Linked DNA regions of Oryctolagus cuniculus. Each later gene encodes a partner of the first gene's protein in a complex. Links are inferred from orthologs where the notes say so. Each region holds a gene or a part of one and is shown in the gene's direction. Other genes may lie near its edges.

Evidence for each region. Proteins that work in one complex are often made in the same cells at the same time.
Region 2: ARID1B (region 1) and SMARCE1 share a complex: the UniProt entries of both Homo sapiens proteins name them as parts of the neuron-specific chromatin remodeling complex. The link is inferred for Oryctolagus cuniculus from reciprocal best matches to the Homo sapiens genes ARID1B and SMARCE1.

The regions. Positions count from the first base shown.
Region 1 is NC_091436.1:10,408,836-10,412,395, reverse strand, and holds part of ARID1B (AT-rich interactive domain-containing protein 1B), read left to right. Parts: intron 1-1,309; coding exon 1,310-1,448; intron 1,449-1,661; coding exon 1,662-1,834; intron 1,835-3,560. UniProt on the Homo sapiens protein: Involved in transcriptional activation and repression of select genes by chromatin remodeling (alteration of DNA-nucleosome topology).
Region 2 is NC_091448.1:21,886,055-21,890,127, forward strand, and holds the start of SMARCE1 (SWI/SNF-related matrix-associated actin-dependent regulator of chromatin subfamily E member 1), read left to right. Parts: upstream 1-1,237; 5' UTR 1,238-1,376; intron 1,377-3,072; 5' UTR 3,073-3,117; coding exon 3,118-3,124; intron 3,125-3,298; coding exon 3,299-3,342; intron 3,343-4,073. UniProt on the Homo sapiens protein: Involved in transcriptional activation and repression of select genes by chromatin remodeling (alteration of DNA-nucleosome topology).

The DNA.
Region 1 (3,560 bases):
TTCCTTAAAGAGATCTAAGTTCTGCATCTCTGCGAGTTTCTCTGGGTCACTGTGCACGACCCAGGGCCCCATGCACCATCAGGCCCTGCCAGGGACCAGGCAGCCCTAACGTGGCCAGAGATGATCGGTTTGACCAAGGCTTCCCCGGTGGAAGTGTTGTCCTCGCTTTGGTTCCCGACTCCCTCGCGGGTTGCTCCGAAACCTCTGGTGACGGACTGTGCTGCGTTTGCCCCACAGTACGAGGGGAGCCAGGGGAGCTGTGGCGAGTCTTGGGGACTCCCAGGCAAGGAAGCACCAGGACTAACGTGTGACCCGGTGTGGCAGACGGGCAGCCCTGCACCTGCCGTTTGTTTAATGAATAAACGAAGCCGGTATCTGCTGAACAGCTAACGCGCTAACAGCTAGGCTAGATCATAAAACAGGCGCTCGTAAAGTGCTTTTTCCTACAAGGTGCGGTTAATTAATTTTTTCCGGACTTCTACTTGCTAAGAAAGCGTTCTCAATTCTGAGCTCTTCTATTATGATGTAATTGTAGTGAAAACCAAATCTCTGAACTCCGGCGACATTGGAGGACTTTAATCAGTATATAGGTCTTTGAAAGTGGGAAATGCATAGTTTGAGAAAGCTATGTGTGGATTTCAAAAATTCTTTGTACCAAAACAAGCCTATTTTTAATGCTGGTTTACCACAAGCTTCTCCATGTACCCTGGGATGTCTTAGGCTTTTCCAACAACCTGATGTTGTAGCTCAGGAGACGACTGTTGTGAATGACCAAGTGTAGACACGTCTGGATCCTGAGACGCTGACAGAATGACCTGAGGCACGTTGTGATCCATCTGCGTCATTGTTTTTCAGCTTAAACATTTCTCATTATCCAAGACCCAGAACTCTGTCTTCTAATTTTTTCCTAAAATAGCACCGACATTTTTTATCCCAATTTTCTATATTTACTTTTAGATTATCTCCATTATAGACAGCACTGAAATCAACATTCTTATGCCCAAAGCCTTCCTTCTGTTAGATTATTGTCTTGGGATGAATACACAGGAAAACAGTTACCCAGCCTGAGGCTGAAATGGTTTTGAGGCTCACAGATGGAGCGCATTACCGAATGGTTTGCTGCCAGGGGTCTGAGCGGTTCTCACCAGAACCAGTGTGAGGACACTGACTTCACACACACTGGGTGCTGTTACTCTTTCCAGTAGAGTGGCGTCTCAGTTCAGGTTCTCTGTACCATCGCTAGCAAACAGGAGCTTACTTGGTAACCTCCAGTGTTTTCCCCATTTTCCCTCGGTGCAACCACCATCAGCTAACTCAGGATCCTTGCAAGGCCCGCAGACCCCCCAGTCAACCGGCAGCAATTCCATGGCGGAGGTTCCAGGTGACCTGAAGCCCCCGACCCCAGCCTCCACCCCTCACGGACAGATGACCCCGATGCAAGGTGGAAGGTACGTCCTCACAACCCCGTGGGCCACGCAAAATCAGGATTGGTTAGTCTTTTCATTTTCTGGCACCAACGTCCTAGAAGGAGGAGATGCCTTCTCCCTAGAGTCTATGGACGATGCTGTAGTGTGGATGGTTTCTCGTTTGTAGATCTCGAGACTGTTTTACTGTGTGGACACTGTGCCGTGTCATTAACCGCCATTCTCACATCTCTTCAGAAGCAGTACAATCAGCGTGCACGACCCGTTCTCAGATGTGGGTGATTCGTCCTTCCCCAAACGGAACTCCGTGACGCCGAACGCGCCGTACCAGCAGGGCGTGAGCATGCCAGACATGATGGGCAGGATGCCCTATGAGCCCAACAAGGACCCCTTTGGTGGAATGAGAAAAGGTATGTGCGGAGGGCGTTCGCCTCGCTGTACCCACAGGCAAGCCGCTGCTGGCTCAGCCACCTTTCAGGACCTGGCCCTTGGGGAGGATTTTAGGACCTCCGTGCCTTACTTTCCTCATCTGTAAAATGGGCAAGCAGTAAGGCCTGCCCCCGAGGGTGCTGTGCGGGTTAACGACGGGGGTGCATGCAGAGCCCGTGGAGCGGGGGCCACCCCGCCAGTGTTGCTTGCACTGGCATTGTCACATTAGCGTGAGCATGAGCAGTGCAAGGAACCTCATAGCATATAGGCAGATCCCACACAGTCCTTGCTTTGTGGAATTAACAGACTCTAAGGAGGAAGCAAACAAAAACTAAGTTAAACCGCAACTCTGTAATTAAACATCATGGTTGTTGGGAGAAAGGGAAGAAGGGGTGCGGAGGGCAGTGCCCTCTGGGCTGGGCAGGGGGAGGAAGGGAGGGCTGCTCCCAGGGCAAGAGTGCTGAGTGCCTGTGTGGGGAGGTGGCAGGGGCCACCAGGCGCCCCAGGCTGTCACCTTGGTGGGCGTGCTGGTGGTGTGTGCGTAGCTGTTTCGTAAACTACCAATGCCTGGAGAAGCCACCGTTCGGCTCTGGAGGGTGCACAAAGAGCCCCTCTGCTGGTCTAGGGGAGACACGGTGGATTCAGGCTGGAAACCAGCAGCGGGGAGAGACGCCATCCGAGGGACTGATGGCTGAATGTGGGGCTGATGGGCGAAGGTTAGCACCTGCGCCGTGGACCATGAGGAGGGCGCGAGAGCCTGAGACACGCGGGGTGGTGGGTAGTGGCAGGCAGCTCTAGAGCTGAGCAGAGACCCAGTTGGCCATGATTTTAGAACACTAAGCATAGGGATGGAGCCTACAGCTGTGAGCCAGCTGCCACCACTGAGGAAGTAGCGGAGACTTCCCTGACCCTCAAGGCCAAGTCCATACCCAGGCGGTGGCTGTCCAAGCCATTGTCTTTTTTTTTTTTTTTTTTAATTTATTTACTTGAAAGTCAGAGCTATAAAGAGGGAGAGGCAGAGAGAGAGACAGAAAGAGAGGTCTTCCATCCACTGGCTCACTCCCCAAATGGCCGCAACGGCCAGAACTGAGCAGATCCGAAGCCAGGAGCCAGGAGTTTCTTTCAGGTCTCCCACACAGGTGCAGGGGCCCAAGGACTTGGCCATCTTCTGCTGCTTTCCCAGGCCATAGCGGAGAGCTGGATCGGAAGTGGAGCAGCTGGGACCCGAACTGGCACCCACATGGGATGCCGGCCTGGCAAGCAGCAGCCCTACCTGCTATGCCATTTTCTTTTAACTCTTCCAAGCTCCAAGCAGACACTTGGTGTTTTGCTTTTCAACATTCTTCCAGATGCAGCTGGGTCCTGTGAAATTGAACTGTGATGTGACTATTATAGAAAAATACAGAAAAAATGGTGAATACTTTTATGCAAGCATCCACCCTGCGTCCCCTTACACAACAGCACCTGTGCCGTATTTAGGTGTTGGGATACAGGAATTTCTTGATATATTTTCTGAATGCCAAGAAGTGGAAAGCCCAGAGCCTTCATTTTTATAAGCATTTAGGGCCAATGAAAAATAAAAATAAAGAATCTCAATAACATAAGTATCGGGCCTGTACCATTTAACAGTTGAGACTGATACTATTTCATGTGTATTTCATGTGTTACGTTTCAGGTGACTATTACATGAAGTAGGAGTGTCTCTAA
Region 2 (4,073 bases), on another chromosome or scaffold:
ACCAGAACAGGTCCTGGGACCCCCGCCCAGGCCGTCCCCCGTGTCTTCCTCCCATCCTTTAATGCTTTCATATTGGAAAAGCAATTCCACAGCCGCCCCTCAAGCCCCTCTCCCTTCAGGCGCTCCCCCATTAGGCTCCTGAATTGCACTCTCTCCTATTCGCAGGGGAAGCCCCGGTATCAGCTGTCCCCAGCTCTGCAGGGACGCCCCCATAGGCCCCTGTTCCTGCTGGCTCGTCCCAGAGGGGCGCTAAGGGCGGCTAAGAATAAGGCCCACCCCGTGCCCAAGTGAGTACCATTCGGGGGGTGTCCATTTGTTCATTCTCCCACCAGGGGCCTACGACAGTACCCAAGGGTGTTCACAGCCCAGGAAGGGGCCACTCACTCCAGACGGTGAGCAAAGAGCCCCAACGACTTGGGGGGTAAGGGCCCTGGCTGGAGCAGGCCAGAGGGCTGCCGCGGTGCCCATGTCACGGGCATCGAGCTGGGCTCCAGACCCTCAGCGGTGACCGGCACTGCAAAGCTGACACACCTTCCTAAGGGCCAGATGGAAAGGCCTGGGGGTACAAGGGAAGGATTGTTGGGGGGGGGGGGGGGGGCACTGCAAGAGGGCCTCCCGAGGGCACGGCTGAGCTGCATCCCAAACGGCACAGGAGTCTACGCAGCCGGCGAAGGCGGATCTGGGGCAGAGCCCAGCAGCAGGCACCCTCGGCGCTGCAAGGCCACACCAGGGCCCTCGCTCGGAAACCTGTGGCCAGCCAAAGCCCGTGCTGCTTCCCTCCAGGCCGAGTCCTCCGCGCCCGCGTCGTCCGCTCTGAGAAGCACGGGGAACACTCGTCCTGCCGCCCAGCGACGCGAGGGGAAGCGGGAGACCCGGCGCCGGGGGTCCCGCGGGGGCGGCCGCGGCCGGAGCCCGAGGCGCGCGCGGCCTCCCCCTGCAGCGGCTCCTGCGTCTCCCGGCCTCACGCGCGGAAGCCGAGGCCGCGGGCCTCGCCACCACGCCCTCGGGCAGGGCTCGGCACCTCCCGCCGCCGCCGCCGCTCGGACCCCTCACCGCCGCGGGAACCGGGCCTATCGCGATCGGGCCACCTCCGCCTTCCTCGCCGTGACGAATCGGCGCCCGACTGGGAAAGCATCCAAATCCAAGGAGCTTTGTGGAACGTACGGGGCCTGGAAAAAAATCCTTGGCTGTACTAAGCGTCGCCGCGTCCTCGGGAGCGGGTTTATTTTTTTTCCGAAGACAGTCGGTGGGGCCTGAGAAGAAATTGAGAAAAAGTGTGGAAAGTGCGAGCGCGGAAGCTCCGGACGTGAGGGGCGGGGCGTGCGCGGGACAAAGGGAAGCGAAGCCGGAGCTGCGGGCGCTTTTTCTGCCCGCGGGTGAGTGTTTCCTAGTGGGTCCGACCTGGTCTGGAGGGTGGCAGGTCGCGGTGCCTCCGTTCGGCGGGACCCCGGGTCCCCGGGGGTTGCTGGGGGTCAGGCTTGGCTGCGGGGCCGGAGCCGAGAGCCGGTGAGGCCTCCTTGAGGCCTAGCGGAGCGCGCGTGGGGAGGGAGTCCTCACGGGGGGCCCTCCTCAGGGGCAGGATGGCCCCTTCCGGCCACCCCGAACCCGGTCAGGGCGCCCACGCATACCCCGGTTTGGGGGAATTACTGGTAAAGTGCATCCCCCGCGGCAGGCGTGGAGGAAGCGACCTCCGAGGCAGCCCTGAGGGGCGAGGCGAGCCCAGGGCCCTCAGCCCCGGAAGGGACCCCCGGCCCGGGGCCCTGGCCCCGAGGACCCGCGGGGCCGGCTTGGCGTGAGCGGACTTGGCCTGGGTGCGGACCCCAGCTCCTGCCGCTTCCTAGCGGCGTGGTTTCGAAGAGTTACTTTGAAGTCTGCAAGACTCCCCTTTCTGATCTGTAAAATGGGACAGCAGGGTTGCTCTCCTAAGCCTGTCCTGCCTTATTCCACAAATGCTTGCCGAGCGTCTGTGTAGGGCCAGGCCGCAGGGAGGGCGTCAGGGGGTGCACAGGGGCCCTGGCCCGCTCTGAGAGCCTGCGTTCCGCCGGGGGCGAGCAGTGTCTGTGAGTGTATCTTAGCGTGAAGCGCCCAGTGCAGGGAGCTGCTGGCTGTCCCGTCAGGGCTCCACACCGCAAGGCCTCCTGGATGCTGACAGCTCGCCGGCTGAGCAGCAAGGAAATTTGCAACAAAGTCAGAGGTTCCCGCCGGGCTTTAAAGGCAGAGGGGGAAAGCACCCTGGGCTCCGACCTGCACCCTGGTGCTGCAGGTAGCTCCTGCTTATCTCCCGTGAGGCTGGATGAAGGCGCTCCAGGATAGGAGTTTGTCTTCTTTCCAAAACACGGATTTTTTTTTTAAACCCCTCGGGACTGTTGATGTGAAGGACAAGCTCTGGCCCTACTGTGAGCAGGGAACCCTAGGACAACGTCTATCAGGAATCGCACTAGAGACTGGGATACGGTGACGAGAGCAGCACCCAGTCCAGCCATATTGGCAGATGTTTTGAAAAGCTACAGTAAGCAGTATCCTAGCTCTGCATGGGAGTGCAGATGAGGGAACAGTGAATTCAATGTATTTCCAGCGAGTCCGAAGCTATCTGCCGCTTTAAAAGAATGTGAAACGCATTTAGTATACCTGTTACCTTTTCCGCTGCCTTCGGGAATACAGAGCTGCCCTGTTCGAACAGAGGTTGCTAGACCAGAAGCCAGGTGGAACTGACCGGGCGCTGGCAGCATCCAGCAGGCCTTGTTGGTGTGGACAGGTGGCACAGCACAGTGTGTGACCACTGCCTTCCCAATTACCAAGTGTTCACCGTGCGAGAGGTGGGGCAGCTTAGGACAGAACCTGAGAGTATATTTCTGATACTTAAATATCCCAGGAACTTACTCGAGTCATTTAATTCTGATGACCCAGATGACCTACAAGGACTAGTAAAATACGCGCAAGGCTTGAGTACTGAGAGATAATGTAGTTTTACTCAAAAGTACCAATCAAACTGCCCTCTTTAGGGAAACATTCTCATGCTTGCTGAGTTTTGATTCTCTTTTTTTTTCCTTTTTTTCCTTTTTTTTATTTTAGTGTCTCAGATTCATTCTTAAGGAACTGAGAACTTAATCTTCCAAAATGTCAAGTAAGTTTCAATTTTTATATTTATCAATCTATGTTAATAAGAGACTAATGCCCTAGCAAGTGGGAATTCCAAAATACTCTCATTTTTTTCTTCAAAACAGGACCATTGGTAGTTTTGTTGCATAGTATTATATCTCAGTTGTTTACAAGAAGTTATTTATTTTCTTTCAAACAGAAAGACCATCTTATGCCCCACCTCCCACCCCAGCTCCTGCAACAGTAAGTTTTAATTTTCTTGTTAATGTAATAGCCGAGTCTGGCCTTGATACAAAAACCCAGATGTCTTCCAGTGACAGTCACTCAATCATCACAGTAACAGGATGAAAATTCAGCTAAAAAACAGACTTCCTTCTAAATAAAATAACTCTTTGCCTCTGATCTTGAACCAGCCCCAACATTTAAAGAAACATACTATGAAATTCCTACCTCCTATGCTGAATTTACTTGTTTTATTTTTTTTTTTTCTTAATGGGAAATAGTTAACAAGTTTAACACTTCTTTCTCAGAGTCTTTAAGTTGATATTGAGTGAGTGCTCATTCTGGCTTTTTTTTTTTTAAACCTAACCTTCAGCTGGTTACATTTTTCTCTCCTTTCTTGTCTCTATATATAAAATTTCCATATTAAATCAAACAAAGCTCCTACTTCTATAACTACACTCATTGTAAATCTTTATTTTCAAGCTGTTCAAGTGAGGATTTCATTATCTGTGGGTCAGATTTTGCTATGAAATTTGACTCCACGCTGTAATTAGATTTGATTGGCTTGGGAATTGAGAATGTTTCAAAGTATCTGCCTGATAGCGGTGAACCGGCTTCTTCACCCAGCAAGCTCTGACCCAGCTTGGTCAGCATGTAAAATAGTTGCCCAACCCATGAAACAGATTCCACAGCAACTGTTAGGCCTCCCTGAAATGGCTTCCTTGTGGAGTTTTTTAGGGGGGAGGGGGTTG